4 linked regions of the Struthio camelus genome follow. The protein of the gene in region 3 purifies or fractionates together with the protein of the main gene of each other region. This does not show direct contact. Links are inferred from orthologs where the notes say so. Each region holds a gene or a part of one and is shown on either strand. Other genes may lie near its edges. The genes, in order: PHF12, ARID4B, RBBP7 and CUL4A.

Region 1 (7,642 bases), on a different chromosome or scaffold from region 3:
ACGCCTCCACGGCCGACGTCACCATCCAGTTCCAGTCCGACCCCGGCACCGGCGTCTTCGGCTACCAGCAGGGCTTCGTCATCCACTTCTACGGTGAGGCCGGCGGCGGGTGCACGGCGCCCCTCGCCCGCCCGGCGCCCGGCTCACCCCGCTCTGCCCGCAGAGGTGCCCCGCAACGACACGTGCCCCGAGCTGCCCGAGATCCCCAACGGCTGGAAGACGACCTCGCACCCGGAGCTCATCCACGGCACCGTGGTGACCTACCATTGCTACCCGGGCTTCGAGCTGGCCGGCACCGACGTCCTCATGTGCCACTGGGACCTGACGTGGAGCGGCGACCTGCCGGCGTGCGAGCGCGGTGAGCGGCCCCCCACCCCGGGGTGCCCCGGCGTCGTCGCTGCGCCGCGCGGCGGGTGTCCCCAGCCGGGGGGCGGGGGTCCGGCGTCACCGGCTGCACCTCCCGCCCGCAGTGACGTCCTGCCGGGACCCCGGCGACGTGGAGCACAGCCGCAGGGTGGTCTCCAGCCCCAAGTTCTCGGTGGGGGCCACGCTGCAGTTCGTCTGCGACAAGGGCTACGTGCTGACGGGCGCCGGGCTCCTCACCTGCCACGACCGCGCCGCCGGGGGCCCCAAGTGGAGCGACCGCCTGCCCAAGTGCATCCGTGAGTGTGCTCGCCCCTTGGGCCAGGCAGGGCGGCCGGCAGCGCGCCCTGAGGCCGCCTCTCCTTCCTGCCCGCAGCGGAGGCCTACGAGCCCTGCCACAACCCCGGGGCGCCCGCCCACGGCCGGCAGAGCCCCGAGAGGCGGCTGTACCCGGCGGGGGCCGCCCTGCGCTTCTCCTGCGCCGCCGGCCACGTGCTGCTGGGCGAGGGCAGCCTGCGCTGCCTGCCCGGGCACCCGTCGCGCTGGAGCGGCTCGCCCCCCATCTGCAAAGCGGGTGAGCGGTCCCTACCCCGCCGGCCCGCGCCGCCCCGCCGGCCCCCCGCCGCCCCGCTCCTCTCACCCGCCCCTCTCTCTCCCCCAGCCTCCTACGATGAGTTCTACAGCAATCGCAACCTGGACGGTAAGGCGGCCGCAGCGGCGGGTGGTGGAGGGCGCGGGACCCGCCGGGGTGCAGCGGGACCCGCCGGGGTGCAGCAGGCCCTGCTGGGGTGCAATGGGACCCACTGAGGTGCAGAGGACCCCACCAGAGTGCAGCTGGACCTATTGGGGTGCAGCAGGACCTGCCAGGGTGCAGCAGGCCCCACTGGGGTGCAGCTGGCCCTGCTGGGGTGCAATGGGACCCACTGGGGTGCAGGGGACCCTGCCAGGGTGCAGCTGGACCTATTGGGGTGCAGCCAGCCCCACCAGGGTGCAGCAGGACCTGCAGGGGTGCAGCCGGCCCCGCAACGGTGCAGCGGGCCCCACTGGGGTGCAGTAGGACCCACAATGGTGCAGCCAGCCCCGCTGGGGTGCAGCGGGCCCCGCTGGGGTGCAGCCAGCCCAGCTGGGGTGCAGCGGGCCCCGCTGGGGTGCAGCAGGACCTGCCAGGGTGCAGCAGGCCCCGCTGGGGTGCAGCAGGACCTGCCAGGGTGCAGTGGGCCCCGCTGGGGTGCAGCAGGACCTGCCGGGGTGCAGCCAGCCCCACTGGGGTGCAGCAGGACTTGCTGGGGTGCAGCGGGCCCCGCTGGGGTGCAGCAGGACCTGCCAGGGTGCAGCGGGCCCCGCTGGGGTGCAGCAGGACCTGCAGGGGTGCAGCCAGCCCAGCTGGGGTGCAGCAGGACCTGCCAGGGTGCAGTGGGCCCCGCTGGGGTGCAGCAGGACCCGCAACGGTGCAGCGGGCCCCACTGGGGTGCAGTAGGACCCACAACGGTGCAGCCAGCCCCGCTGGGGTGCAGCGGGCCCCGCTGGGGTGCAGCCGGCCCAGCTGGGGTGCAGCAGGACCTGCAGGGGTGCAGTGGGCCCTGCTGGGGTGCAGCAGGACCTGCCAGGGTGCAGCCGGCCCCGCAGGGGTGCAGCCGGCCCCGCTGAGCCCCCTCTCTCGCGGCCAGCCGTGGCCAAGGCCATGCCGGCGGGGAAGCCGCTGGAAGGCACCAACATCGCCGTCGCCGTCTTCCTGCCCGTGCTGGTGGTGGCCCTGCTCGGCGGAGGCGTTTACCTCTACTTCTCCAAGTGAGCGCCGGGGCGGCACTGGGGGCGGGGGGGACGCGCCAGGGACCCCGCGCCCGCCGGCCGCCCCAGCCACCTCTGTCGCCGCAGGCTCCGGGGCAAGCGGGCGCTGCAGCGGCCCCTCGCCGCCTCGCACCCCTACGACCACATCACGGTGGAGGCGGCGTTTGACAACCCCACCTACGAGACGGGAGTAAGCCCCTGCCCCCAGCGCCCCGCGCAGCGGCAGCGGGGGCCCGGCCGCGCGTGCCCGGGGGGGCTCGGGCAGCGGGGGTGCCCCCTGCCCGGCCCCCCCCAGCGCTGGCCCGTGTCCAACCCCTTGCAGTCTGCTTTCTTTGCAGGAGACGAGAGAATATGAGGTGTCCATCTAGGCGGAGGAGAGCCGGGCACGGCCGCTGCCGGCCCTCCTCGGCCCCCGCTGCGCCCGCGGAGACCCCCGCGCCAAGGGACCGGCCGGAGCCCGCCGGGGGACCCCGCTGTCACCCCCGGCACGGCCGCTGCCCTCCGGGGTGACACCTCGTTCACCACCGGATCGGGGCCCTGCATCGCTCCGGGCCGGCGGGTCCCATCCTGCCCCTCAGCACCCGCATGGGAATAACATGCCGCAGCGGAGGAGCCGGGGTGGGGGGGGCGCGGACGGGACCCCTGGGTGCACCGGGCCGGCCGGGGGCAGCGCAGCCGCCAGGAGCCCGGAGGTAAGGACACGGCTGCCCGGGGCCGGGGGCTCCTCGCCGCGGCGTGGCGGGGTGCCCCCCACCCCCCGTGCCCCCCGACGCAGCACTCGGGCCCCGGCGCCGGGCGAGGGGTGGGCAGGGGGAGCCGGGCACGGCCACCTCTGCACCCCCCTCTGCCCCCCGCCGCCACGTCGCGGCTGAGGCTTTGGACAGGGCCGGTGTACGACAGGGTCCCATCCTCAGCTGTGCATCCCCTTTTGGAGAGCAATTCCACCCCCCCCCGGTCCCCTCCTCCCCCCCCCCATCTTTTGGTCGTTTCATTAATAAAAAATGGTGTTTTAGAAGAAAACGTGGCAGTAGCGTGTTTCCCTGGGGCCGAGGGCTGGCCGGAGCGCTCCCCCCACCCCGCCAGCACCCAGGCTCAGCCGTGCACCTCGCGCCGACCCCCCCCCCACACCCGTGCCCCCAAGTACCCCCTCAGCCAGCATCCCCAGACTCCCCCCACCCTGCACCCCTCCTTGACCCCCACCCTGCAGCCCACTAACCCCCTGCACCCCATGCTGACCCCCACCCTGCACCCCTCCTTGACCCCCACCCTGCAGCCCACTAACCCCCTGCACCCCATGCTGACCCCCACCCTGCACCCCTCCTTGACCCCGATCCTGCACCCCACTAACCCCATGCTGACCCCGACCCTGCACCCCTACCCTGCACCTGACCCTCACCTTACTCCCTCCCCCTTGCCCCGCTGCACCCCCAAACCCGGCTCCCTGTCCCCTACACCGACCCCACCCCACCCTAAACCCCGCACCCTCCACTCTACCCCCTTCCCCCGCCCTAGCTCGGTGCGTGACAGCTTTAAGAGGCGGGGCTTCCGCGGAAATGACGTCACGGGCAGGGCCCCGCCCCTCCCGCCGGCACGCCGCGCGCCGCGCGCCCCCTGCCGGCCCGCTGCGGACCCCGCCCCGTTACGTCACCCATGGCCTCGCTCCCCCCCACGGCCTCGCTGCCCCCCACCGCCGCCGCCGCCGCCGCCGCCGCCGCGCCCGGAACGTGACGACAGCCACGCGCCTGCGCGCACCACCCTCCCTCCTCACGGCCGCGCCGCCCCGCCCCGCCTCCGCCGCGCGCCTGCGCCCCCTCCCGCGCGCCTGCGCCGCGCCGGCGCCCCGCGCGCCTGCGCAGGAGGGACGCGGGGCGCGAAAGGAGGAGGGGCGGGGAAAGGAAGGGCACGGGAGGAGGCGCGGCCCCCCCGCGCCTGCGCAGTGGCGGCGCCTGCGTCGTCGTCGTCGTCGTCGTCCTCCTCCTCCTCCTCCTCTTCCTCCTCCTCCTCCCCCTCCCCCGCCGCGCCAGGCCGAGAGCGGGAGGCGGCGGCGGCGGCAGCGGGGCGCGGGCCGCGCCTGCGCGAGGCGGGCGGGCGCGGGGAGGGGGGAGGAGGAGGAGGAGGAGAGCGGCGGGGCGCGGCGCGGCGTGCGCCTGCGCGGAGTGCGCGGCCCTGAGCGTCGGCGGCGGCGCCGCCTCTGTGTGTGTGCGTGTGTGTGTGTGTGTGCGGTGCGTGTGCGCGCGCGCGCGAGTGTGTGCGTGCGTGTGTGGCGTGTGCGCGAGGCGGCGGCGGGAGCGGGGCCGCGCCGGGCCGTCCTCCCCCCCCCCCACCCCTTCCCCCTCCTTCTCCCCCGGCCTTGCGCGGCATGGCAGCGGGCGCGGGGCCCCCCGCAGCCGCCCCCGGGCCCGGCAGGAGGAGGAGGACGGGCAAGCCGCAGCGGCCCGTGGGCTAGGCCCCGCGCCGCCGCCGCGCCCGCGCCGCCCCCCCCACCCCGGGGAGCCGCCGCCGCCGCTGAGGGGCCGCCCGCCCCCGTCTCGCTCCCCTCTGCCCGGTGCGGGGCGGGGTGGGGGGGCTCTCGGGGCCGCTCCCGGGCTGGATGAATGTGGGAGAAGATGGAGACCAAGACGATCGTCTACGACCTGGACACCTCCGGGGGGCTCATGGAGGTGAGGCCCGGCCGCGGGGCCGGCGGGCGGGAGGGGGGCGGGCAGGCCCGGCTAGGGACGACGTGGGGTTGCAAAATGGCGAGGGACCCCCCCCCCCAACCCCCTGCCGTCCCCCCAGAGGGGCCCGGAGCCCCGTGGCCATACAAGGAAGCGCGGAGGGAAGGAGGCGGCTCGCCCAATCGCCGGCAGAGGCCTTGCTGGACGCGGGGCCGGCGGCGGGCGGGCCCGGCCGGGGCCTTGTCCCCCACCGCCACACGCACCTTCCCCGGCGGGCCCAAGGCCCTCTCGTCCCGGCGGCCGGCTCGGAGAAGGGCACCCGGGGTCAGGGTCCGGCCCAGCCCCTCAGAGCCCTCTCTGTCTCTGTGTGTGTGCATGTGCAGCAAATCCAAGCCCTCCTGGCTCCCCCCAAGAGCGAAGATGGGGAAAAGAAGAGCAGGAGGCCCGAGAAGGAGCCCAGGCGAAGTGGCAGGGCCACTAACCATGATAGCTGCGATAGCTGCAAGGAAGGAGGGGATCTGCTGTGCTGCGATCACTGCCCCGCTGCTTTCCACCTCCAGTGCTGGTAAGGCTCGGCACTTATCTCCCTCCGGATCTGGGTGTCCCAGCCCAGGCAGCGCGTTCCCTCTAGCCAGGGCTGCACCACCACCGCCGGCAGCTCCTGCTTCCCGTTAGATCCATGCCTTGCACGGGGAGGGGGAAAACGGGGCCCGGCGCACCAGGCAGGAACAAAAAGGAGGTGCAAACCCCAATCGGCTCAGTCCCCGTGAGAAGTGATTAATCTGGAACAGCTGAGGTGAAAAGTCACTGCGCTGCCTTCTCTAGGGGCTGGGGACTGCGACCCCAGGCATTGCTGGGGGCTGTGATCCTCCTTTCTTTTTGTGCTGAGCAGTGGCTGAGAGGCCTAGAGGAGAAGTGAGGCTGCTAGCTGCGCGGCCTGGCTGCTTTGATACTGCCCGCACCAGGCCTTCCACCCCGCAAGCAGTTAACTTCCCCTCCTCACCCCTCTCAAAGGGTGCATTGCTTGGGGGGCCTCTGGAGGGTCGCGGCTAGGGGGAAGCTGCGGTCGCGTCTCTGCGCCAGGCCTGACGTTCCCAGCACTTCCGTGCTGCTGCAGCTGCTGGGAATAATGGAGGTTGCTTGTCTCTGTGTCTCCCTGCCTCACTGTTTACAATATGGCGACCTTCCTTTAAATTATATTTTTATTCTCAGCGCCATTTTGGCTGCAAATACGACTTCCAAACCCTCGCAGTGCTCCCAGAGGATCTGAAATGTGAAAATACCTTCCCTGTGTAAATCCAGGGCTCCAGACTTTAGAATCGGCCTGGTTTATTCCTTTCCCTCCTTTTTTCCTTCCTCCTGACGCTTCAGACCTGCTTGTCTCATCCACGGGAGTGACTCCTGTGAATTCAGAGTAGTTGGGTCTTCTTGCTTGGAGCTGTGTGGCTTTGTTGATAAAGGCAGATCTTTTTGCATGCAAATCTCGGGGCTGTGTTGGAGGTGCCAGTAGAGGCGGTTGCAAAGCAGTCGGTAGAGGCTGCAGTGGGGAGGATGGTAGAGGCTGCAGCGGGGAGGACTCTCGGTGCCTTGCCTCCGAGCTTCTCAAGCTAATAGCACAAAGCAACCTGGCAAAAGCACCTGAACTTTCCACCCTGAAGTTTTCTCTTTTCTGCATCGGGAGCCCAGATGCATCAAAGGCCGCCTTACCCGTATCTCTTGTTCAACAGTTGACACAGGCTGGCGGTTTGTGTTAAATTAGCACAGCCAGAGCGGATAATGGAGTGGAGGAGGGAGTGGGGCAAGTCAAACAGCTGGAGCTCGGGAGTGCAGAGTATTCTTCCTTAGGGGAGATTTTTTAACCGCATTCCTCTCTCTCTTCCATGCTTTGGAGCTTTGTTTGCTACCCTGTTACAGCTGTCTCCTCTCTTTATTTTTTTTATTTTCTTTTGCTTGGTGTTTATACTCTGCTTATATGCTAATTGCAGGTCTCTGAACACTTATTAAACTGATTACTGATACCAGGAAAACTGAATGTGCAGTCACAGTTCTGCAGGGAGTGTCCCGTTAGCAGTGTATAGCTAGACTTACCCAACAGTGCTCTACTGTGCAGCCATGACATCATCCCTCTTACCCTGAGGAAGTGCTACTGGTGGTAGTATATGTTCTCTAACGTTTGCTGAAAGATCACTAATATTTTTTGTCTGACTTTTTCGATAGGCCTTAATTAAGGTTTTGTTCTTGTACAGGACATAGTTGCTTAAAACTTGGTGTTTGCTTTCAGATGCTGTCAAAGTCAAATGGAAACACATTCTGAGCCTTCTCTAATTGAGGCTAGAGTGATTGCTAAAACTTCATGTTTAGATTTTGAGATGGAAGCGCTGTGACTAATGGTATAGCGTTTGCTAGTTGACTCTGTATCCTCGTTAATCCTAGCTGCAAATGAGTCCACTTTGCGCGTGCTTAAATCTGGCTAAATTTCATGACTTAATTTGACAAGTTTCTTGTGTTAGTAAGTAGGAAATGGTCGTGAAAATCAGACGTTTGTAAAGCTTTGGCTATGCTCTGGTCGAGTCAGTTGTATTAAAATATATGTATATATCTTTGGCTAATTAGTCACCTTTCAGAATAGGAAGAGGGGGCACAGTTCTGCTTATTCTTTCTCACTTTGTTACCTTTCTTGGAATATCTCTTGGATGAGCATTTGGATGGTCAGCAGTAACCCAAGCTCCAGTGTGTGAAGCAGCATAGCCTGGAATGCGCAGCAAGCTTGCTGCATGCTGTTGGATAGGCTGCTTCTCCAGAAGACCTCAAGCTTGGCCCATATTCTGCTTTCT
Region 2 (7,655 bases), on a different chromosome or scaffold from region 3:
AAAAGAATATTAGAAATGTACGTAAATTTAGCTGTCATTTAAATAAGTGGTTTTGCTTGTGGGGGAAAATAGCTCCATATACTGCCTCCTATTTCCTTTGCTTCCATCTCCTGCATCCCTGCTAGGCAATGGGCCACAGCTGAGAAGCTCCGTATCATACTACATTGACAGTCCGTTGTTTGTAAATTCATAAATAGTTTACTTCTAATGAGAAAGATGTGTGCAGCATTTTAGATCTTAACACTTACTAGAGAGAAAGCAGAGGAAGGGCACTTAAAGCAGGACTGTTTTTCCTAAGATATTGTCATTAAGTCACCAAAGTAAGCAAAACAGGCTGAACCTTTAACAGCTATACAAAGGCCCAGTTTGCTACTCTTAGTAATATCATATCAATCTAGAAATTAAAAAGTCTATATCATCTACCATTTCCAGCAGCGAATACAGTACAGGGTACATATTTTACATAATACACAAACTGATATGCAGTAGCACAACTCTGATAGTGCAAGATTCCACATACATACTGCTCTTTTTATTGATGAATACCAATGACCTGATGCATCATAGCTTCATAATCATCATTTTTGGTAAGGTTTATAATATTTTGAAACAAGATTCACTGCAGCCCAGCATAGCCAGGATCTGGATTACACAACCTGGGGGTCAGGGTAATATAAAAAGCAGCTCAAGCGAGAAATCAGCAGCAAAATGACAAAAGGACTAATAATCTCAGTTCTTAAAAACTACTTTTAGGTGCATGGTTCTTTGCCATACATAGAAGAAATCATTTTATGCCACTGATTTTTTTTTTTCTATAAAACTTTGTCCAATGTATCAAAAAGCAATGGTCCAGAAAGGCCTAAGAGAAGAAAAGTGCACTCACTTTGTGACAATTTTGTATGTGACTAGTACACGGCACTGAGAAGAAAATTAAAACCTGTTTGAAAATCTTTTTGCACCTTACAGCAATCATTTCGCTGCAGAGAATCTCTTACATGCTCCCTTCCTGATCAGATCAGGATCACTCATTCAACAAAACTCCTCTTAATGAAGAGAAGGCAAGTAAATCTACCATTTACCCTCTATTCAGAGAAACACGGCTGTGTGGCCAGCATTTCCCCTGCAACATTACTTTCTCAAGCTGGGCGACTGTCCCCTGTTCCTCCATGAAGCAAGCTCAGCCCAGGCAGCCATGTCCTTATTCTCCTACAAACAATGTTTCTGAAGGAGAACAGCCCTCTCTCAGCGAACTTGCACTTTCCCCAGCAAAACGTGGTGGAGCAAAACCCGCCCCACGAGCAGCCAAGGAGCGGAGGCACTAACACAGCATTGGGGCGAAGCAGCCCGCAGTCTGGATCCGCACCAGCGCCGAGCCTCGCACCGGGGTCGGGACAGACGGACTGACAGCCAGGACGGCATTTCTTCACGTAACCTTGCCTCCCCTCCCCTCCCAGACATACAAGTGAGTGTTTTACCTTCATGATGAGCTCAGGCTGCGGTAAAAGCCTCGATCGGGGCTGAGCGGCCGAGGCTGGACCTGGAATTTAAAACAAAGCACTGAGGCACCGCACCAGCCGCTCGCACCGGGCGGGGGAGGGGAGGGGAGGCCAGGATCGGGGCGGGAGGGGGGGGGGGAGGCCGGGCTCCTGCCGAAACTCCCCCTCGCCTCCCCCAGAGCCCCCCGCTTAGCCCGCTCCCCTCCCTCCCCGGCCACCGCTTCCCCTCCAGCTCCCGCACGCCGCGGCTTCCCCTACACTCGCTGCCATTGACGCCATTTCTGTCAGAGGAGGAGAAACTTGCCACAACAACAACCCACCCCCAGCCTCCCCGGCTGCCGCGGGGGGAGGCGGCCCCGGCTGCCTTCCCGGGGCGCTGCGCCCCCTCCGCGGGCACCGGCAGGAGGCCGGAGGGGCCCGAGCCCCGGGCAACCCCCCCCCCGCCTCCTTCCCCCCCCAACCCCCCGCTTTGCCGCGGGGCGCCGGAGAGGGGGAAGGAGGAGGGCGGCAGGGGAGGAGGGAGGCTCTTCCTCCATTGTACGAGGAAGAGGAGTGTTTGCCTGCGCCGTGGGGCAGGGAGGGTGTCGTCGGGGGCAGCCCCCCACCTTTCCCCTTCCCCCGCCACTCTCACGCTTTTGCAGGGGCTGCGGCTCCGGATCGCGGCGGCTTCCCCCCCCCCCCCCCCAAAAAAAAAATAAAGGAAAGCGCTGACTCCGCGGCAGGAGTTTCAGCAGCAACAGCCGCAACTCCCCAGCTCGGCGCAGCGGGTCGGGGGGGGGGGGAGGGACGCGGCGGAGGGGAAGAAAAGGAAGAAGAAGAAGAAAAGAAGGGAGTGGGAACGGGGAGGGAGGGAGGGGGGCGGGGAGAAAGGGGCCCGACCTGCTCAGCGGGGACACGGAGCCTCTGCGTGGAGGAGGGGGCTCCGGCCCCTGTCGGCAGGCGAAGGGGGCTGGAGGAGCCGCCGGTCCCTCCCGCACGCAGGCGGCACCCGATCCCCCTCCCCCCCGCCGGGTGTTTGGGGGGAGAGAGAGAGAGAAGAGAAGGAGGATCGGCGAGTCCCGCCGCAGTCTCGCTCCGAGGAGAAAAACAACCGCCCCCCTCCCCCCCGCACGCACGCCCGGCCGCCGCGGCCCGGCCCCGCGCCCCCCCCCCCCGCGCCCGCCGCCGCCGCCGCCCGGCGCCTCTTTCTCCGGCTCGTCGCTGTTACCTTTGTTCCGCGGCGCCCGCCCGCCCGCTGCTCCCCCTGACCCGAGGCGGGGGGGAGGGACGGGAACGGGGCGAAGCCTCCTCTCAGCTCCGGACCCCCCTCGCCCGGCCTCGGCCCCCGGTCAACGCTCCGGCAACGGCTCTGGTAGCGTCTGCTCCGTGCTGCGTGTGGCGGGGTCGATCCGTCCGGCTCGGACTCGGCGGTGGCGGCGGCGGCGGCGACGGCGGTGACTGCTCGGCTCGGAGCCTCTCGGTTCCCCCTCCCCCTCCCGCACCGACTGACTGACGGACGGACAGAAGGGCGGGAGGGAGACGGACACGCCCCTCTCCCCGCCTCCTCCATTGGGCTCCAGCCTGCAAAGCCCCTCCCTTCCCTCTGCCCCATTGGCTGCCGCCTCGGAAATACTGACGTCATTCTTCTCCAGTTCTATGGAAACTGAGAGTCGGCACCGAGAAGACTTATGGGTGCTGCTGCTTTCCCTCGCCGCTCACCAGGGCTCGAGAAGCGGTTTGGCACACGAGCCTGACTACATATCCCAGGACGCACCGCGGGAAGGGGCCGTGAGGGGACGGGGCCGAAGCCGAATGCTAATTAAACCGGGGGCGGAGCTGGCGCCTGCGCAGTGAGGCTCTGGTGGCGCATTTTCCCTCAAGAGGGGGGAAGGTGGCGCCTGGCGAAGCGGAAGGGGGCGGTGCTTCGAGCGTCGTTGGTGCTGCTGCTGCCGCCGCCGGCGCCACTCCTGGCGCGGGCCGCTCGGGGGAGCGGAGCGGAGCGTGGTGCGGCTCCGACTGGCGGCGAAGAGGAGGTGAGCGGCGGTTGCTGGGGCTGAGGCCGCGTGCGAGCGGCCGCCCGCGGCTGTCTCGCGCCGCCTTCGCCGACCGTTACTGGTGGGAGGCGGCTTCGCTGCCCGTGACCGGGTGTGTGGGGCGGCGGGGGAGGGGGGAGGAGAGCAGGCTGTGCTCGTCAGAGGAGCCGGCGCTTCCCACTCCCCTTTGGAGCGGGGCTCGGGGCGGTGAGGGCGAGCCCGGCTGGGAGGGGAGCGGCTCTCGCGGCCGCCCCGCCCAGGAGGGGCTGGCCGGTTGCCTGGAAGGGGCCGGGAAGGGGCTGTGAGCAGGGAGGGGGGCCGGAGCCGGCGGCTGCGGCCGCCGTGCGGGTTGGGCGGCGCCGGTGGCGTCGCGGGCTGCCTGAGCGGCCGAGGCGGGCGGCGCTTCCCTGCCCGGCGACTGAGCTCGGGCTGCCGGCCGCGCCGATCAGAAAATGGGGATGGACGGCGGGCAGGGGGAGCGAGGAGTCCTCAGCGCGCTCTCGACCGTGTCTTATCTAAAATGGCGCTGGTGGTGCTGAGCTGCCCACTCCTGGGTTGTGGGAGCGCTTCGGAGAGGTTCTGCAGCCTCCTTTGCGTTTACAGCGCTCGCATCAAACTCTGAAAAATGAACCGTGCCGCCTTTGTTGCGATTATGATGGGGGAGGGAGGGTTCACGCATCTGTTAGCAGGGTAACAACTTCATGTTCTTTGCGAAATGCGACTTTTAATCTGAGAAGCGATTCTGCAGTAGGCATGACTCTGGTCTCTGCTGGTTTGCTTTCTGTGTTTGGATCAGCTGATAACTTGCACTCTTTCTGTCTGTATGCTGCCACCACTTAAGTGTGGGGACTTCAGGAGGCTGGTTCTCTTCCTCTTGCTGCTGTGTCGTTGTTACTCAGTTGTACCGGGAGATATTGCTGAAATTGTGTTTCCATTTCAACACGATGTTCTAGCTGTTCTGGTGTTGCAGGGCTAAAGTGTTAAATTGCAGCCATGAAAAGACAGTAATTTAGCTGCTTTTTTTGAGGATGCCTTACAGCCATTGTTCAACCTGTGGGATGTTGCCTACTCTAAGTGCAATATGGTTTTGTTCAGTATCAGTCCAGGAAGTTCTAACAAGAACTCTTCTAGTTAGAATGAGAATGTGAGCTAGGATGACAAGCATCCTGTCCAAATCCCAGTTGGATTAGGAGCCTTGATAGCCTCTTCAATTCAGTGTGCATTCACAACAGTATCTGTTTATTCCTTCTGAAACAGACTTTCTCGCTCCTACTTCCCCCTGTGTTGGGGCTTTTTTCCTTGGTTACAATGAAACCAGTGTCCCAGTGAACCTCATTCTGTGATGAGGCTGATTTAAGAACTTTCTGGGTGGTTGGGTGTTTTTTTTCAGTGCAGTTCACTGCTCCTTTGGTGGCTCTGTTTTATTTTCTGTGCAATTGTGTTGTGAATGGAGCCCTTGAGATGAGGCAGCTTTTTTTAAAGAACCGTTTTCTGTTAGGTGTATATGTAGCCTGGAACACTTTGGTCATCTTGCTTATTTCACCAATTGGAGCTGAGGACAAGGGCAGAGAATATCCTGCGGAGTGGAAGGGATGGAGTGAGAAGCTGTTTATGAAGTTCAAAAGTGAAGATTTACTGTAAGTGCAACATAGGTCTAATGTTACTTGCCTCCTTTGGAAAGCTCCTATTTATGGATCACTGCTTCAGTAATTATCTCTAGTAGTTCCAACTTCTGGAAGCCCATACTGCTGTTCTTTTCTAGCATCTTGTGTGTTTTCAGTGAGATCATTAAAGATAAAGTATGTTGCAGTTCAAAAGACAGTTCTGTGGGTTCTGTCTCGTCACGGCGTGGATTGTGCCTATAGCAGCTGTTCTACAGTATGCTTATATGGAGCTGCTAGAAAAAATTCAAAGCTTTGTGTTAATTGACATGCAGGAAGTGTGTACAGTTTGAAAGAAAACTGAACTAAGCAAAATTGCCTTAACTGCCTTAATTTTCTGAATAAACCTACATGCAAGATTGCCCTTCCACCAATAAAGGCTTTATATTCCCTTTCATTTATTGTTGAAGTTCTTGCAGCTCTACTTTTTTGGGAGATGTTGACTGAGATCTTGTCTCAAATTTTCTTAAATGAGAGGACTTTTTGTAGCAGTGTAACTTTTATAGTAAGTTGATCAGCTGCCTAAGTGAAAAATCCTTAATATCAATAACTTCCTGTGGTGTGTTAAATGTAGGAATTTTCTGCAAAGAGCAGTGATGTTACTGCTCTCCGTCTTCTCTCATGCTTCATTATATTCTTGCTGATCAGCCTTTAAGCGTCTTCATTTACATATTTCATCAGGTGTCCTCTTTCTTATATAACTTTGGGGAGTTCTAGTCACTATTCTTTTTTGCTGTGTGTGTTAGACAAGTAGTTTTCTTATGAATGATTAGACTGTTGCTTTTTCCCTTAGCACAGGTTATCTACCATTTCATGTAGAGGTAGCATAGCAGCCTAGAAAAGCTTAGCTATGGTAATTTAAGCTAAGTCACCAACCATTATTTGTCTCTTAAAGTGTTTTTCCTTATGTCTGTCTTGAAAAGGAAGAAATCTAGGCCCTTGTAGGGAAAAGTGTCTGGCTAACTTTCTGTGGATAAGCAGTGTCTCAGAAACTAATATAGGAGACTTCTGTCAGTTTAGCACTAGAAGGCTGGGGATTTAGTGGTGTAATACCAGCCTATTTCAAGCTAGTTAAGGATCTTGAATGCTGTTTGCCTGTCCTACAGACAAGAAAGAAACCTTCTCATCCTCTGAGGGAAGAAGAAGAAGAATTTCAAGGTTTACTTTCAAGCAGTTTGTGTTGGGAAAGACTTCAGTCTTAGCATGCATTTAAGCATAAAAGCATTTACTGTGCATGCTCATTGTAGACTGCTTTTCTAGCTATGAGAAGCCTTGACAGAGAAGAAATTCCAACCTTAGCATCTCTCTCTTTAGCTCTGTGGGTAGCTAAACACTTCCACTTCTAAGCCAGCTGTGTGGCTTTTTGGTGATAATAGTCATAGGAGATGTGTTAACTTGGTTAGTGCCTCCTTCTGTCTTTCGCTACAAGTTTCTTTCTGGTCAAAATATCTGACGATGGACTGGGATAATCTTTTTGGTTGTCCTTCCTCACTGAAGAAGTTTGAGGCTTGCCCTTTAGGTATGAGGGTGCAGTTTCACAGCTGACTTCCTCAGTGGCAGTGCTGGCTCAAAAGCAGTTCCTGTCCCTTCAGTTATACCAATAAGATGACACAAAAAGAGTTGTGTTAAGCCTGACTTAGATTATGGTGTGGCCTGACAGTCAGTTGTGCTGGTACACCATGAGATGGAAGAGCTGTACCACTTATTGTGGCATTGCTGATGAAAACCTATGCAAAGCTTTCCCAAACGGCATGGTCTTATGAGTGTTTCTTGGGCAACTGTGCTTGCTTCAACAGCCTCTTGCCTCTGAAGTTGCAGTGTGGTTTCATGTAGTGAACCAAATGAAGGAACTGATCTAGACGTAAACTTGGAAAATAATTGTTCGTGTGAATTATTTCCCCAGTTTGGGCTGCTACAAATATTTATGGGGCAGGAGGGTGGGAATGGGAGTAGACAGGGACTGAATAAGCTGCCACTGAAAGGGAAAAGATGCTGAAATGCTGAGGAATGCCAGTTGGTCCAGGTGTCTTAAGAGGAAGCAGTGATCTTAATGCTAATCCTCTGAATTGTTGAGGGGAAACTACATTGCTGGATTATTTTGAGCAGGTGTGGAAGAGTTTAGCCCACTGGTGTTAACTGCTCCCTTTAATATAGCTATATTAAAAATGTCTCTGTCCATACTTAAAGATGTCACTTTAAAGCAGTTCTTGTGTTGGTAACTTATAATATCATTCAGTTGCTGCAGAGGGAAAAGTACATGCTTTCCAAGATGCTTGCTAAATAACTGAGAAATGATGCTGAAATAGCATGAGAAATTTTATGCTACTGCTGCAGTTCCTGTCTTAAAATGACATTAGAAGAATTGTTTTGAGCTGCTGCATCTGCAGTGCAGCAAGGAACGCTAGAGGTGAAAGGAGAGGAAAATCTATTACAGAAAACCGCCTGAAAAGGGTGGGGGGAAAAAAGCAAATATAGGTGCTAAGCTA
Region 3 (7,071 bases):
ATAGTTGTAATGTTTATAAACTGTCTTTTCCATAGCAATCTTGATAGGCGAAAAGCACTTAATAGCAAGATTGTTGGTGTGTTTGCATATAAATTAAAAGAAAATTTGGCTGTGTGCAAGTATAGTTGCTAACAAAGGAGAAGATAATTGCACAGGTCACTTAGGGACTATTTTGACAAATAGGTGTAACAGATTTTTTTCATCAAAACTGGTACTGCTCCTCACAGTCCACTAAAATGCAACTTGACTTGCAGAGTCTAAACAACTGAGTCTTCCAAAACTGGTGGGGGGGGGAGGGGGAAGGGGGAACTTTCCTCTCTTAATTTAGAGTTTAATCAAGCCCTACATTACATCACTGAAAGACAATTTTGTCTACCTTTCTCCAAAAATAAATCACACTTTGCCAATTATATTCCAGGTAAGCCGTGGTGGAAAACCACTGCTGTTCACAGCCAAATGCACACACAATATCCCACCCAATGCTCAGATCGGCTTGATCCTTCAAGGGGCCATGTAATTAAATTTCATCAAGAGCTAACAGAACTCACTTAGAGCCAAGAAGCCTGACAGAGATTTCCTTTATTCAGTATCTGAGTTTTAACAGATCAGCACTCTGCACCACCACACAGGCTCTGAAAAGCTCAATCTTCACCCTCCCAGCATTTCAGGAAGGCCTCAGCACTTTGTAGGTTTAGACACATACTTGGCAGCAGATATCAAAACAACTAATAAGTGTTGCCAAAAGCAAGTTGGTAACTCACCTTGTACGATCAAGGTCCTATGTCTGTGTTAACATACTCACTAGTGCATTCCTATGTAGCAGATTATTCTGCAGCTTCCAATTAATTCAACAGAATTCTCATTTTCAATAAGTAAGCCATACATAGCTTTAATTCCAATTTGTGCAGGTTCAAGAAGATTAGTATATGGTTATTTGGCTTCTTCACCAGAACATTTCTGTTTTTCAGCACTTTGGCCCATAAAGGAACGGTTCATTACAAACGCTTCCTGTTCAAGGAGCTGGCTGTCTACTCCAGCCTTCTCCTTCAATTCCCATGCTACAACCTTTGGCTGCTGTTACTAGCCTCTGCGCTCCCCAGCCTCTCCTAGACATAAACATTTTCCATAACTGGATTCCTTCTTTGAAACACTGGAGTCCAGACTATAGAGGGCTCAGTCCATGAGGAGTTCCTCACAGAGTGAATATAAAAATCCTGGCTCTTACTTGGCTGTGCAAGTAAGCCTTCTCTCTTGCCACAATATCGCTAGCTGAGCACAATGATCTCCGCTACAGAGCTAATTTCAGCCCCTTCTGGGGCTCAAGGCCTTACCAATATAGGATTCTGCTTCCTGAGTTTAATATCAAAGCACTGATCTAAAGACTTTAAGTCACCACATGATAAAAGAACTCATGCAATGTGGAAGCAGAACGTTCCTCTGATTTTTTAGGGGCATTTGGGAGAATTTAGCCTGATTCCTAACTGCCTCTATTTCCATTATTCTGTTGGAAGGTGCTATTAACTGCCCTCAAGATCTGCTCTGGTTAAGGCTATTTTATATGCCAAGTGCTGTTTATTCAAGCTTAATAGAAAGCAGTTAAATGAAATGGCCTTTTGGTTAGTACTCGCTGAAACAAGAGAAGAGACTAGAAAGGTTGGGCATGTCCTGGCAAAGCCATACATTTGATTTGTATGTGACTGCTTAAAAGAAGCTGTGTCACTCACCACAGACAATACTTCTGACCCTAACAGACAGCTGTAGGATTTAAAACTTCTGTAATCCTGACTGATATTATGTGAGTGGGAAGTCAAGAATGCGGCTTAGTTTATTGGCATGCCTTTATTGCAACTCAGCAAACTTTCAAACAGGTATTTCTTGCAGCAAAATAAAAAAAACATATCTTCAGGCGCCATTGTTGAAAAATAGTAACTATTTAGCAGTGGTCTCTATAGCCATTTTTACGTATATTTTCTGAGCTGTGAAGTGGGCTTAGTATCTGAGTTTGTAGTGCAATTTAGGGCTTATTAGTTAAGACATACTAAATGACGTCAACCACCATTCTTTGCTGTTGCACCTAAGTTTGTTTCAAATGTATAGAGGCCGCCTGATAGTTGCTGGATCTCCAAGAAATTTTCGCTTTACTACCATCGCCCCAAATAGACATACATCCTGGAGCATGGACCAGAATAGGGTGTAACCGACACCGAGCAAAGAAACTTCCGCGGTCAGATCCTGCTTCTTGTGCAGGGAGTTGAGACCACCTCCTTCCTCGCCTGGCTCTGCAGCCCGCATGCGGCTGCCCGGTGTGACAGTAGTGCCACCTCCTGCTCGGCCCGCCGAACTGCACACCGCAGTCTTGCACATCTCCCCCCCCACCCCGCGTCTTTCCCTTCTTCTTCTTTATGCCCTCTAATCCCGTGGCTTCCCGATTTCAGCTACCTCTGTTGGCTTACATAAGACTAATGTCTGGTTTTCATTCCGGCTGAGATTGTTTTTTAACTTATGTTAAATATGTCGGCTGTTTTTTCCCCTTTTATGACTAGATTACCGTTTCTGATTGGTAAAAGGGAATATCTTGTATTTTGGGTATTTCTTTAGAAAGAGTCCATTTGTTTTCATTTTTCTTCTCGTTCACTGCACTGTTCCTCCTTTCCGGATCTGTGCAGAGTTGCATTCATGAAAACTGACAAATGAGTTAAGTACCATTATCACTTCTGTTTCCCAATTCCTACTTCCCATGTGCAATCAGCGATTACGCACTTGGTAACTCTGCCTTAGCGTTGCAGTAACAAATAAGGTAGTATAAAGAAGAGAGCCATAATAGTCTTTTCATTCCTCATCTACTCTTGAGTGCTGTACGGATTTTAATACTTCCAGAATTTCGAATTTTTAGTTTACCCCTCTCCTCGGAAGATCAGTGTAAATCACGTTTGTGAATAATACTTGGGTACTTTGATCCTCTACAGCGCTACTGAGGGGAGTGCTTCCCATTTTGATTTCTGGCAATACCCACGCTCGTTCTTCTGTTATCAAAAGGGAAGGTGCTTGTGCTCTTTGCAGTAATTGTGCCTGCAATTACTGCAGGGGTACCGCGTGGCTCTCAAAACTGTGCGCCAGGCGTCCCCTCGGGGTATTGTCCGAGTGGCGAAACCTATTATTAAACGGGAGGTCTACCGTGCTTACTCTGCATTATGCATGACTCTGAACAGCTCGGTATAGGGGCTTTTCGGCAGCCAAGATGTCCTTTTTCTAAATTGTATTTTTTTAGCAATTCCAAACTCTTGGTGAACAGATCATGAACACCAAATCCCTGCGTTTAAAGCATGCTCCTTTCATATGTCTCCGCAGGATGAACTCAGCTTGTTTTAGATGTTCTGAGGCAACTTTTGAACCGAACTGGCAGGTTGCTCTGTAACGCCTTTAAATGCGGTTAAAAAGCAACAAAAGCCGTTTGCCAACTCGCACAGCAGTACCGTCGGCGGTTTATTTTACTTAAGGCCCCACCTCGCGGCATATACACGTCCACGCCAATCTTAACCTTCTTCTGAATAAAAAGCCGCGCACTTGCGTGAAACCCTGGCTCCTCCTCGCCCTCCGCGACCCACTCAGTAACGCCGGGGGACCCGCCCGTGACACGGGCACGCCTGGGCGTAGCGACTGCCCGCTGCCAGCGCGGAGCCGGGCTCTGGGCCGAGTCCAAGCGCTTTCCTGGACAAGGAGGCGCGTGTCAGCCGGCCGCGAAAAGCCCCAGGGCCCCTGGGAGCCGTCCGTCCGCCAAGAGCCCCCTGCCCTCTCCCGCCCCGCCCGCCCTCGCAGTGGATTCAAGGGGTCGCAGAGCGCCGGCGCGCGCTTCCGACCGTTAGGCGCCGGGCGCCCACCCCCGCCCCGCCCCACGCGTGTGCTCAGCGCGCGCAGGCGGGAGGGCGAGCGAGGGGGCGCCTCCTCGGAGCGCCCCGGCCGGACTCGCAGCCCCGTCTCGCGCCAGCCGTTGAGCGAGCGAGCGAGCGCGCGCGCGCAGCCCTTTCGCCCTCCCCATTGGCCGCCGCGGTGGGTGGCGGCGTTCCGGGCGCCGCGGAGAGGGCGGGGCGGCAGCGCATGCGCGGTGCCGCCGCCGCCGCCGCCAGGCGCGGGTTGGGCATCGGCGGGGCGCCTGACGCGCGGGAGCGGCCGCGGCCGTGGCAGCGGCAGCGCCGCCGCGTCCTCAGCTGCGGCGCGAGCTGTGCCCCCTCCCCCCCTTCCCCGCCGCTAGCCGGTACCTCCTGCCCCTCACCTCGCCTGCGCGCGCACACACACGCCCAAAATGGCGAGCAAGGAAGGTAGGAGAGCACCCCCCCCCACCACCCCGCCTCCTCCTCCTCCTCCTCCTCCTCCTGCTGCTGCCCGGGCTGCGTGGGGCGGCCGTGCGTGAGCTGGGAGGGCGCGAGCGGAGGCACCCGCGGCCTCTCTCGCGGGGGCCTTCTGGCTGGGCGGTGTTGGCGGGGGGGGGGGTAACTGTCGCTCTGCCTCCGGTTGCCCCTCAAGAGGGTTTCGGGGCCCCTCTCCGCACCTTCACCCCGCCCAGCCCCGCGGCGCGTGGCGGGCACCGCCCCTCTCCCACCCCACCTCGGTGGCACCTCCCCCCACCCCCACCCGCGCAGCCCCCGGCGCGTGGCGGCGCCGCCCCCGCCTGGCGCGGCGCGCGCTGAGCCGTTGGCTTTTCCCCCTCTCCCCCCCCGCCGCCCCTCGCCCAGCGCTGGAGGACACGGTGGAGGAGCGCGTCATCAGCGAGGAGTACAAGATCTGGAAGAAGAACACGCCCTTCTTGTACGACCTGGTGATGACGCACGCCCTGGAGTGGCCCAGCCTCACCGTCCAGTGGTTGCCTGACGTGACCAGGTGAGGGAAGGAGAGAGAGAACTTGCTTGTCCTGCCGCTCTTTCGGTCGCTCTTCGCGGTGTCTGCTAGGTAATTGGAAGGTGAAACCGCAAGAGACTAGAATAATGTGGATTAGGCTCGTCTCGCAGTAAGCTTGTAACAGTTCATTTTACTTACAGCTCTCAAAACCCTTTGGATAGACAGAAGCTTTGAAGGGGAAAAAAAGGTACATATTGATACTGTAGAGAGCTCTAGCCTGACACAGCAAGATCTGCCTTGAGACGGCAGGGAAGAAGTCTTCCTTACTTTATTTTATTGATATGTAAGAGACCTAGCTGTTCTGCAGTAGCTTCTATTCAGAGAAAGAACAAACTTACTAAACTTTTACATGAATAATATTTTTCCTCATGTGCATTACCAATTACTGTTCTGTAGAAGATACACTTTTTTTTTTTTTTTTTGGGTCTGGCCAAATTTAAGGGGATGTTGCTCGGTAGAGACTGTGGCCCTTAATATCCTGCTTCTGTCCCTGGCATCGTTGACCTCAGATAACTTAACTTTCCCATTCTTCTCCCTCCCCCTAAAAGTTTGTTGGGTAGCTGGTTAATTTCTTAAAGAATTTTTAAGAGAGAGATGGATTCTCTTGATGTCCCAGCTACTAGAAAACTTAAATTCTCAGAGTAATCACTCAGGACTCCACAAAGTTAATGGACAGGTGTGGGTCCCTCATGCTGCTGTATCACAGATACAGCTTGGCTTTAAAATCTTACCCTTAAAGTTCATGCAGTAAAAAGAGGATGATCTTTTTCCTCTTTAAAATTCCACTTGCATAAGTGGCGTTATATGTGGTGGTTAGGTGATCACTTAATTTTGAATGCCAGGACGTTTGGGGAAGATGTGGAGAGATGTGAGCTAACTATTCATGGCATGGAGAAAATGAAATGGGGAATTTTTCTGAGGGTATGGAGCCCTTATGAGGAACACTTCTGCTTGCCTCATATTTTGCAGATTGACTTAATATTCAGTTAAAAACCTGATATTTCCAATTACCCAGTGTCAGAATATGTAAGCCATATAAGGCAAGGACTGTCTCTTTGTATGGCACCTGACATGATGGGACACCTATTCCTAATACAAGTAAGTGTGTGTGCATTGTGTGTTTTTTATTTTATTTCCCCCCCTCGCCCCAATTGTATGGTGATGCCCTGGAATAGGTGTAATAATACTGATGATGTTTTTTGATTGCCCACGTGATTCCTATTTCCTCTTTGCTTGGGTTCAGATAGCAGAATTAATTTATTGCTTTCAGGAACGCAGAAGTTGCTTGTTTTTATTTGCGTGTTCCAATTTTCCTTTCTCAGATATATGACACCGTCTCTCTGACCTTTCACTTATTACTAACTATTGCATTTAACCATCAAAAGGAATTTAATTATAGTTAGCTAGGGTTTGTGCACTGTTTAAAAATCAACTTCTGAAAACTGTAACAAAATACCAACTGGTAAAAGCATATTGAAAGGAAAGTAACTGAAATAGATTGCTGCTTTTCTCGGGTTTTGTTTTTTATAGAACATAGTATTGCTTGTCTTCCAAATTGATACTATGAGATTGCAAGGAGAATTAAAAATAGGAGTAATTACTAGGCAAACTTTAATTATCCTATTCGAGCAATAGCGGCAGTGTTTGTTGACTTATATTGTCACTCTTGGCTTGCTGGATGTATCCTTGGCTTGCTTATGTCAGGTAATTTAGTTCACTTATTAATTCACAAGTCTGTTGTGGTAAAGCAAGGGATCTCGTACTTGAATATTTTTGTTTTCTGTGGGTTTGTTTTGTTTTACTTTTTTAAATCTTCCTGCAGAAGTCTGGATCTTCAGGGTTACTGATACTAACCAATAAACTTTTGGAAATGAGCTCTTTAATTTTATTCTGTTTTTATTACTCTAAACAGGCCAGAAGGAAAGGATTATGCTCTACACTGGCTGGTTTTGGGAACACACACCTCTGATGAACAGAACCACCTGGTTGTTGCAAGAGTCCAGATTCCCAATGATGATCAATTTGATGCTTCTCAGTATGACAGTGAAAAAGGAGGTGGGCTCTGCATGCGTTTTTAGATGGTGTTCTAGCAGTAGTATTAACAAATGTCCTGTCCAATGGTATTCTAACTTGATCTTGTGTAGTAAAGCTGACATACTTACGACTTTACGCTAATTC
Region 4 (7,762 bases), about 18 Mb from region 3:
CACTTGGCATTTCTTCCTACTGCCTCACTTTCTCTATCTGATCAAACACAAGCTACCTTTATCAACATCTTTGCAAACTACCACCAGTCCCAGGCACCATTTCTATTTTAGTAAAATAAAATTACCCATCACCCTCCGATTGCTCTCTGACTATATCTCTGCTAAGCACCTCCATGCTTTATCCCATGCTGCTTCTAATGCTTGGAAAGGAGTATCCTTCAGACTTCCCAGAGAGCCTCATCATTGTTCTTCAGTCTTTCTTCAGCCACCATGCCAAATTAGATAGATAAATCAAGAAGTTCAAAAGCAGGCTGGCGTGAGCCTTGTAGGCCTCTCACTTCCTCTCATAACGTCAGATAAAGGCACACACAAAAAAGCCCTGGTAGTAAAAAGAACTGATACACACACAAAAATATTCCCCTGAGGACTCTGTGCTCACCATCAAGCTGTTAAAAATGAACTGTAAGTACAGATCAGGTTTCCAATAGATGCTGTACTTGGTCTTTTATTCTTCTGGCAGGAGAGTACGTACATAGGCAAAGACACACTCACATCCACTACCTGCTGTACCAGAACCTTTCTGGTTTGCACCTCTACCTGACATACTGGCCTTACAACGTGCAGTTTTTGCAAAGGAGCATGCAAGCCGAAAAAGCAAGAAATAGAGTTTTCCCTTCGCAGTTTATCTGAAATCTCTCTCTTCCTCTTCTGCCAGAACTCAAGTCTATACCTTAGTGATTTCATACCCATATCACTATAATCTCATTTCTGAGCTTCTGAAAACAAGTTAGGCAAAATTCAAAGCATCTGCATGTTTTTGCCAGGCATGAAAAAGCAGGATTTTTCACGTGCTGAGTTTAAAACCATAAAATATGTTATGTAATTCAAACTCTGCAAACTCGTAAGGAATAATAGATGCGGAAATCATGGTCAAGTGGTCCTTTTAAAAGCACCAAATTATATGAAGACAATATGGATTTATTTAATCACCCATTTTACACCCATATATTAAATACCTTAACTAATCGTAGAGTCCAATTTATGCTGACTTTTTGAGTATGGCCTCAGTGTGGACTGGATTTCTCTTCCCTCACAGTCTATGCTTTCCAAACTCCAAACCTACCTCTGCTGAGCATTTAAAAGATTTTTCATGGCAATACTGATGTCTTAAGTCTTGATCTGACAATGAGATCCACATCTGCAGATCAAACATCTGCACCAACAACAAACTCATAACTAACTTCAACTACATAGCACAACCTATTGTATTAGCAGTTTTTTGATAACACGATTATTGTAAAAAAAAAAAGTACTAAAGTGGCATATCTCAAAGCACATACATTTACAATAATATAAAACTACATCATGCATAAATGGAGAAAACGGTGAGGAAGAAATGGCTCATGCCCATTTCTTTCTTTTACCCTTCCTATCCCCTATCCCGTGGTTTAGATGTTCCAGCAATAATTTTTCACCATTTTAACACAAAAATTTAAGACATCAGTTCTTTTGAAAATACAACAGTAATGTGAACCAGAGATGAAGGGATAGTTTGTTGCCTACTCAATTTTAATTCCCCAAAATGTATTGATGACGAAGCCTAATTATTATTATAGCCAATATTTTAACATTTAACAAATATTTTAACATTTAGTATTCACTAGAGACTAAAGCACACGTGGAAGAGAAATCATCACAAATTATACACCTGCATAACGAAGCGATGGTAACATCCAATTTTCAGTATCCTGACGCTTAAAACGTCAGCCCTGCCCAGACGGAGCCTCCCAGGTATCCCAAAATAATTTGCTTTTTCACGAGCTCAGACCCTGGTAGTTTTCCCAGGACCTAAGAGCCACTTTTCTACAACAGTGAAAACGGGCTAGAAACAATACCAAGAAAACAGTCCGGGACATCCAATCCACTTCTAACTAATCAAGACACACCACGTTAAACCTGTAGGTCTCTCCAAGTCCCAAAGCAGTTAACGCTCTGCCTGTTACAATAACCATAAACACTACGCATCTTACCTGGTAGAGCTCTTCAAGGTTGTACTTAATAGAAATGCTGCTCTGTATTGCTCCCACTGCTTCGTGAAGTTTTTGCCATGTGTCCTGAGTATAATTATCTGGTAATTTGGGTCTTTCTGTGGGGGGGGGGGGGGGGGGGGGAGAAGAAAAAAAAATTATACAGGTAGTTGAAAACTAACCAGCCAAGGAACGGCTATCCGTAGCAATCTTTCTCAACGCGCTTTACTCATTTCCCCCAAAGGAATTTTTTTCTGTGTGACCGCTTAAGCGTGAAACAACAATAACAAGGTGGCCGCCCCCACGCGCAGGGCAGGGCAGGGCAAGGCCACGCACCCGCGGCCGGCGCAGCGGGCGGACAGCCCACCCACCCCCCCCCCGGGCACGGGCTCCGCGCACCCAAGCGCCCACCCTGCCCGCCGAGGGCCGCTGGCACAGTCGCTGCCAAAGTTGTGAAAACACACCCGAAGCGTCCGAGGTGTTGACGGGCCCCCGAAACGCTCGTCCGCTCCGAGGCGGCGCCACCCGCCCCACCGCCGCCGCTATCGGCGACATGTCGCCCCTCGGCGGGGCGCCGCGGGGAAGGGGCGGGGAGGCGGCCGGGCCCGCAGTAAACAAAGGTCGGGAAAGGGCCGGGCGGCGGGGGCAGCGGCCCTGGCACCTGCCGCGGCCCCGCCCGCCCCGGGGCAGCGCCGCGCCGCGGGCCCCGCACCCACCTCTGAAGTTCTTGATCACGAGTTTCTTGGAGGAGGCGGTCGCGCTGCCGCCGCCGCCGCCACCTCCTCCTCCTCCTCCTGCGGCGCGGGCGGCGGCGGCGAGCGAGGCGGGCTTGGTGAGCCCGTTAGTGTGGCCCACCAAGGCCGACAAGTGCGGCTTCTTCTGGGGCTCGTCCGCCATCTCCGCCCCGGGCGCCGTGTCCGGCCGGGGCAAGGCGCTGAGCTGGGCTGGGCTGGGGCCGGCTAGGTCCCCGCCTCCGCTCTCCTCCTCCTCCTCCTCCTCCTCCCCCACCGCTCCGGCTTCCCGGCCCTGCCCGCGGGCGGCTGCCAAGTGCCGCCGGGCCGGGCCGGCCCTCGCAGGGGGCGGCGGCACGATCCCCGCTCACAAGATGGCTCCCGAGCACGCCGGGCGGCGGCGGCGGCGGGCGGGGGGGGGGCGCCGCCATGGCCGCGCAGCCCCCCTCTGCCCGCGCAGGGGAGCCGGGAGCGGAAGGCCTGCGGGGGGTAGCGGGGGGTCGGTTAGCCCAGGTAATCCTTCCGAAGGGCCTCAGTTCCCTGCGCTGCCTCTGGCTTTTATTTCGTGGCGTTTGGCACAGGGCTGCACCGTGCTTTCTAAGGAACCGGCTGTTTTTCATGCCTCGAGTTATCTCGCCTTCGGAGCTCTGAAAGCAAGGCAGTTTCAACAGCTAATGCTCAGTTTAGCTTTTTTTTTTTTTTTTTTTTTTGACCCACGCTTATACAGCCCATCCTTGCAGGCAGCGTTGCTCTGGAGGGCACAGCCGTTAACGACCAGAAAGGGACAACAAACGTTGAAAAACTAAGGCCACGGGCGGCAGGGGGGGGGGGGGAAGGAGACCGTTTCCCCAACAACACACCTCTCTGCTATCGCTAGGACCCAGGCTAAAAGGTAACACGAACCCGGGAAGCTAAACGCGACTGCGTGCCTAGCAGAGGGAGGATATGGACCCCTTCTACCAAGCGCTGTGAGAAAAAGGGCAAACAGGAGCCGGGGCCGCCCGCCCTTCACCGCTCCTGTTACCGACACCAACCAGTACGCCAGCCCCTACGCGCTCCTATGGCCACGAGCACCCCCCGCAGGCTCCGCCCCCCACGAGGTTTACCCGCTGACGCGCGGCCTCGGCACCGCCCACCTCGCCTCCCCATTGGCCGCCGGGGGGAAAGCCACGCCTCCCGCCCCTCGGGGGGTGGGGAAGAGGAGAGGCAAGTGCCGTCCCGCTGAGAGCAGCGGGAGCCGGGGTGGCGTTACGTGATCCCTTCCTCCCCGCCATTCGGAGGGCCGGAGCGGTGTCACGTGGGCTGCGCGCGAGGCGGTCGGTGTGCCGGAAGCGCCGTGGCGGTTGCCGGAAGTTGCGCGCTGCGCCGCGCCCTGGCTTGAGGCTGGGCCTGCGGTGAGGGAGGGCCGGGCCGGGCATGGCGGAGGTGCCGCCGGGGGCAAGGGCGAGGGCTGGAGGTGCCGGCGGGGACGTGCTGGGGGATGCGGGCAGCAGAGCAGTCCAGCCGGGCGTGTCCGTGCGGCCGTCGGGGCTTTCCTCCCCTCCCGGCGCTTCGGTGGCGCGATTTCCCCCTCCGCACAAGCTCCGCGCAGCAGGCGGGACGCGCCTGTGCTCTGCTTTGCTTTCCCTGAGGCTGCGTCCTTTCCCTAGAGGCCGGCAGCAGGTGCCGGGTCCTGAAAGACTGGGTAAAGTCGTACCGAGTTGCCGAAGGGGGAAAGAAGAGACCTAGTTGGGATTTTGTCACTTCGTTGTTCTCTAAATCTGCTGTTGGTTTTCAGAATGGGACACAACTGCGTTTAATCGGGGACTCCTGCGTCGTCTACTTCTATTTTAATGGCGCATATCACCATAAATCAGTATTTGCAGCAAGTAAGCAAGCTTTTTATTTGTGGGTACTATCAGAATATAAGGGCATGTGGAGGTTTTTTTTTTTTTTTGGCTGGAAATGCATTTTCTTGTTTAAGAAGTCAACCTAGAATGTGTAATGTGGTAAATAAATATACTTCTTAATGTTGTGATAAGTACATTAACTGTCTGCCAAGGATGTATTCCTGAATAGTGTGAGGACTACTGATATGATGGATGGTGAAGCAGTTTGTCCATAAGAATTAATGTGGTGGAATCGCATGTGTGCGGGGATTTAATAAATATACACAGTTTAAACGCAGAGACAAAGTGTTTGTGGCAGGAGGCTGCAGAGGCAGGAACAGGATCATAAGGATCGTCAGCTGGAGTGAATCCTCAATGTCAAGCTCTACAATTCTTGTTGCTTCTTTTTGAATGATCACGTTTGCATCACTGTTACCATATTCCTTTCTTGAGTTAGGGTCAGTCAAGTTAATTGAGTGAAGGAGAGAAAAAGTGAGTAATTTTTGTTGTTCAGCCTCAGAAATGAAGCAGTTGAGATCTCCCACAACAGTGATTTGCTCTGAAAAGTCAGCATCTTCTCTTGTTAACAGTCTCAATGATCTCTCCTCTCCATCCTCCATACCATATCTGCTGTGGAAGTACTTTTAGATATTAGTTGTTAAAATCCCCTTCCCAATTCCCATGCTTAATTTGTCATATTTTAATGTCTTGGTAGGAAAAATATCTTTACTATATGAAAAGCCTGTACTAAATCAGAACACTCATAGGCAAAAACTCATAGACTAAAACAGCAAGGAAAGCTGCAAAACTGAGGAGAGAACATAAAATCAACTGCTAACACTCTTCCAGAGACTGTTTGCTTTCAAGTAAAGGAGAATTAATATTATCTTCTGCAACTGGCTTTTTATTATTAAATACTATAAGTTCATATGAAATCTATTTGCAAGTCCTGATTGGTGACAGGACCAAATTACATCTGCAGCATCACAAACAGTAATGCTCAAAGATTTTTTTTTTTAATGGTTCACATATATATTTGGTGCTCATAAGTCCAACTGGAATTTTTAAAAACTTCGAATCTATTTCACAGCCGCTATCTTAAGATGCGAAACCTATGTAACTTCTTTTGGGCTTCTCTGATTTGGTTGTATCCTACAGAAAAAAAAAAACCTGTTTACTTCACCTTCTCTCCTGATAGCTTTTTGAAAACAATTAAAAGTAATTAAAACAATTAAAAGTATTAACAATACTGTACCGATATTGATTCCTTCAGTTTTAAACTTTTTAAAACTTACATTTGGGAAGGTGCTGATACGCATGAACAGTGATAACAAGGTAGCTTCCTTAGGTGTATGTAAATATGTTGTCTGGCTGTGGCTAGATTGTGTTCTGTAATATGTTTGTTTTCCTGGGTAGGTACAAGAAGCTATCGACAGCAGAGATGGACAATTTTGTGCGGAATTGGTATCATTTAAGCATCCACATGTTGCCAACCCTAGGCTTCAAGTAAGACTCTGTTATCCTGAGAAAATCTGTTTTTGGCCTTATTTTGTGTTCAGTTTTCCTCTCTCTCCATTGGGATTTCTTTCCACGGGGTAAAATCCTCAGAAATCTGCTTTACACCTCAGAGCAGGTTCCCCTTGTAGGTTTGTTCTCCCCTTTCTTTTACAAGTATACTATCTATCTGCATCTTTTCCTGGATGGCTTTTTGTCCTCCGTTTTGAATTGTTTTCTGGATAGGCGTTTTGAAGGCTCCCTGTGGCCACGTCTGCATGAGCAAGTGAAGTGGCACAGTGGGAGTGGATATGAAGATCAAATCACCTGGTCCTGAAGATCCAGTGCTTGCACTAAGTGTTTCAGAGGCTTTTATCTAAGACTAGCTCTAATCTGGTCCTGTGGACAGAGTGGACGCTAGCAGTTACATTGCACTGAGCGTGAGTCTTAGCATAATGTAAGGTTCTGGTAGATAGCAAAGGCATGCATGCGTAAGACTGCCATGATAAAATACCCTTATGATGTTCTATTTCTGGTGCAATGTCTGTTCTTTTAATGTTTCATTAATTTATTTTATATTTATTTTATACTTAGCTTCCATCTCCAGAAGAAAAGTGTCAACAAGTTTTGGAACCACCATATGATGAAATGTTTGCAGCCCACTTAAGGTAATGGCGGACCACGAATGGACAAGTCATTTGTGAGGCATGCTGTAGGGATGGGGAAGCATAGCCTTGAGTTTACTTGGTTATTTTAAAGGGCTTACATCTGAACATTTGGCATTTACTGCTCTTATAAACAGTGCTAGAATTGCAGGAAATAAAAACTTCTCTTTCTTATGTGCATAGACTTTGCTTTATGCACCTGACAGTCATCTGTATATAGCCCTTGACACAGCTTTGGGTTTGGTGCTTGCTATTTCATTTGTTCTTTTTTACTGGTTACACAGGAATTCAGAGTGAAATAAGGAAGAGAAAGAAATGTTGGGGGGGAGGGGGAGAGGGGAAGGAAATATTCATCCTAAACCTACTCTTAGGACAGCTGTAAGAGTCAAATAATTCTGCAAGGCTTTTATTTGAAAAAATTCAGTATTAACACTATCTTATTAACACTGTCTTATTAACACTATCTTTTAGCTCACTTTCCAAAGTCTTAGAATTTTTTTTTTTTCTAGGCCAGTCTCAGTGACAGTGTCAGTAAGCATTAGCTTATTACAGTTGATACTGTGCAGATTATAGAAATAAGGCCCTGTTCATCTCTCAGATCAGTTTTCCCCAACTGTCAAACTCGGTGCTCTATTAAAATGCTTGTGTCACTGTGTTAGGAATATTTCTAAAAAATATTTCTGTTTTTCTTTTACATAGAGTGTAAGGCTCTATACCTGTTAAAAGGCAAAAAAAGAGAGCGTTTGTCCGCAGGTATGGGACACTTTCTGACGTACTAATGTTCCTTCTGTTTCACAGGTGTACTTACGCTGTTGGAAACCATGACTTTATAGAAGCCTACAAATGCCAAACAGTTATTGTCCAATATCCTTTTCCATAAATCCCATACATTGTTTTCAGATGAATTTTATGCTTTCTTTTGTAGTAAGTTATCCTTACCTTTTTAGTTCTGATAGAATGTATTCTGCTTCCAAATA

What was found.
Region 1: the proteins of RBBP7 (region 3) and PHF12 purify together in Homo sapiens (affinity purification with mass spectrometry; 5 studies listed by BioGRID and IntAct, counting the BioPlex papers as one, with this or other methods). This does not show direct contact. The link is inferred for Struthio camelus from reciprocal best matches to the Homo sapiens genes RBBP7 and PHF12.
Region 2: the proteins of RBBP7 (region 3) and ARID4B purify together in Homo sapiens (affinity purification with mass spectrometry; 3 studies listed by BioGRID and IntAct, counting the BioPlex papers as one, with this or other methods). This does not show direct contact. The link is inferred for Struthio camelus from reciprocal best matches to the Homo sapiens genes RBBP7 and ARID4B.
Region 4: the proteins of RBBP7 (region 3) and CUL4A purify together in Homo sapiens (affinity purification with western blotting; 4 studies listed by BioGRID). This does not show direct contact. The link is inferred for Struthio camelus from reciprocal best matches to the Homo sapiens genes RBBP7 and CUL4A.

What each region holds. Positions count from the first base shown.
Region 1 is NC_090957.1:16,782,470-16,790,111, reverse strand, and holds the start of PHF12 (PHD finger protein 12), read left to right. Parts: upstream 1-4,628; 5' UTR 4,629-4,745; coding exon 4,746-4,811; intron 4,812-5,191; coding exon 5,192-5,373; intron 5,374-7,642. Other genes in the region: SEZ6 (seizure protein 6 homolog), read left to right, coding at 1-93, 164-358, 471-662, 740-937, 1,025-1,063, 2,031-2,151, 2,239-2,341, 2,474-2,506.
Region 2 is NC_090944.1:89,169,038-89,176,692, reverse strand, and holds the start of ARID4B (AT-rich interactive domain-containing protein 4B), read right to left. Parts: upstream 3,017-7,655; 5' UTR 2,704-3,016; intron 2,604-2,703; exon of another isoform or gene 2,376-2,603; intron 1,538-2,375; 5' UTR 1,482-1,537; coding exon 1,476-1,481; intron 1,463-1,475; coding exon of another isoform or gene 1,462-1,462; exon of another isoform or gene 1,324-1,461; intron 1-1,323. Other genes in the region: GGPS1 (geranylgeranyl pyrophosphate synthase), read left to right, coding at 4,029-4,084. UniProt on the Homo sapiens protein: Acts as a transcriptional repressor. May function in the assembly and/or enzymatic activity of the Sin3A corepressor complex or in mediating interactions between the complex and other regulatory complexes.
Region 3 is NC_090942.1:138,746,999-138,754,069, forward strand, and holds the start of RBBP7 (histone-binding protein RBBP7), read left to right. Parts: upstream 1-4,071; 5' UTR 4,072-4,300; coding exon 4,301-4,316; intron 4,317-4,730; coding exon 4,731-4,875; intron 4,876-6,805; coding exon 6,806-6,948; intron 6,949-7,071. UniProt on the Homo sapiens protein: Core histone-binding subunit that may target chromatin remodeling factors, histone acetyltransferases and histone deacetylases to their histone substrates in a manner that is regulated by nucleosomal DNA.
Region 4 is NC_090942.1:156,807,769-156,815,530, forward strand, and holds the start of CUL4A (cullin-4A), read right to left. Parts: upstream 3,010-7,762; 5' UTR 2,925-3,009; coding exon 2,744-2,924; intron 2,652-2,743; exon of another isoform or gene 2,583-2,651; coding exon of another isoform or gene 2,492-2,582; intron 2,147-2,491; coding exon 2,031-2,146; intron 1-2,030. Other genes in the region: PCID2 (PCI domain-containing protein 2), read left to right, coding at 4,591-4,626, 6,043-6,132, 6,715-6,788, 7,584-7,649. UniProt on the Homo sapiens protein: Core component of multiple cullin-RING-based E3 ubiquitin-protein ligase complexes which mediate the ubiquitination of target proteins. As a scaffold protein may contribute to catalysis through positioning of the substrate and the ubiquitin-conjugating enzyme.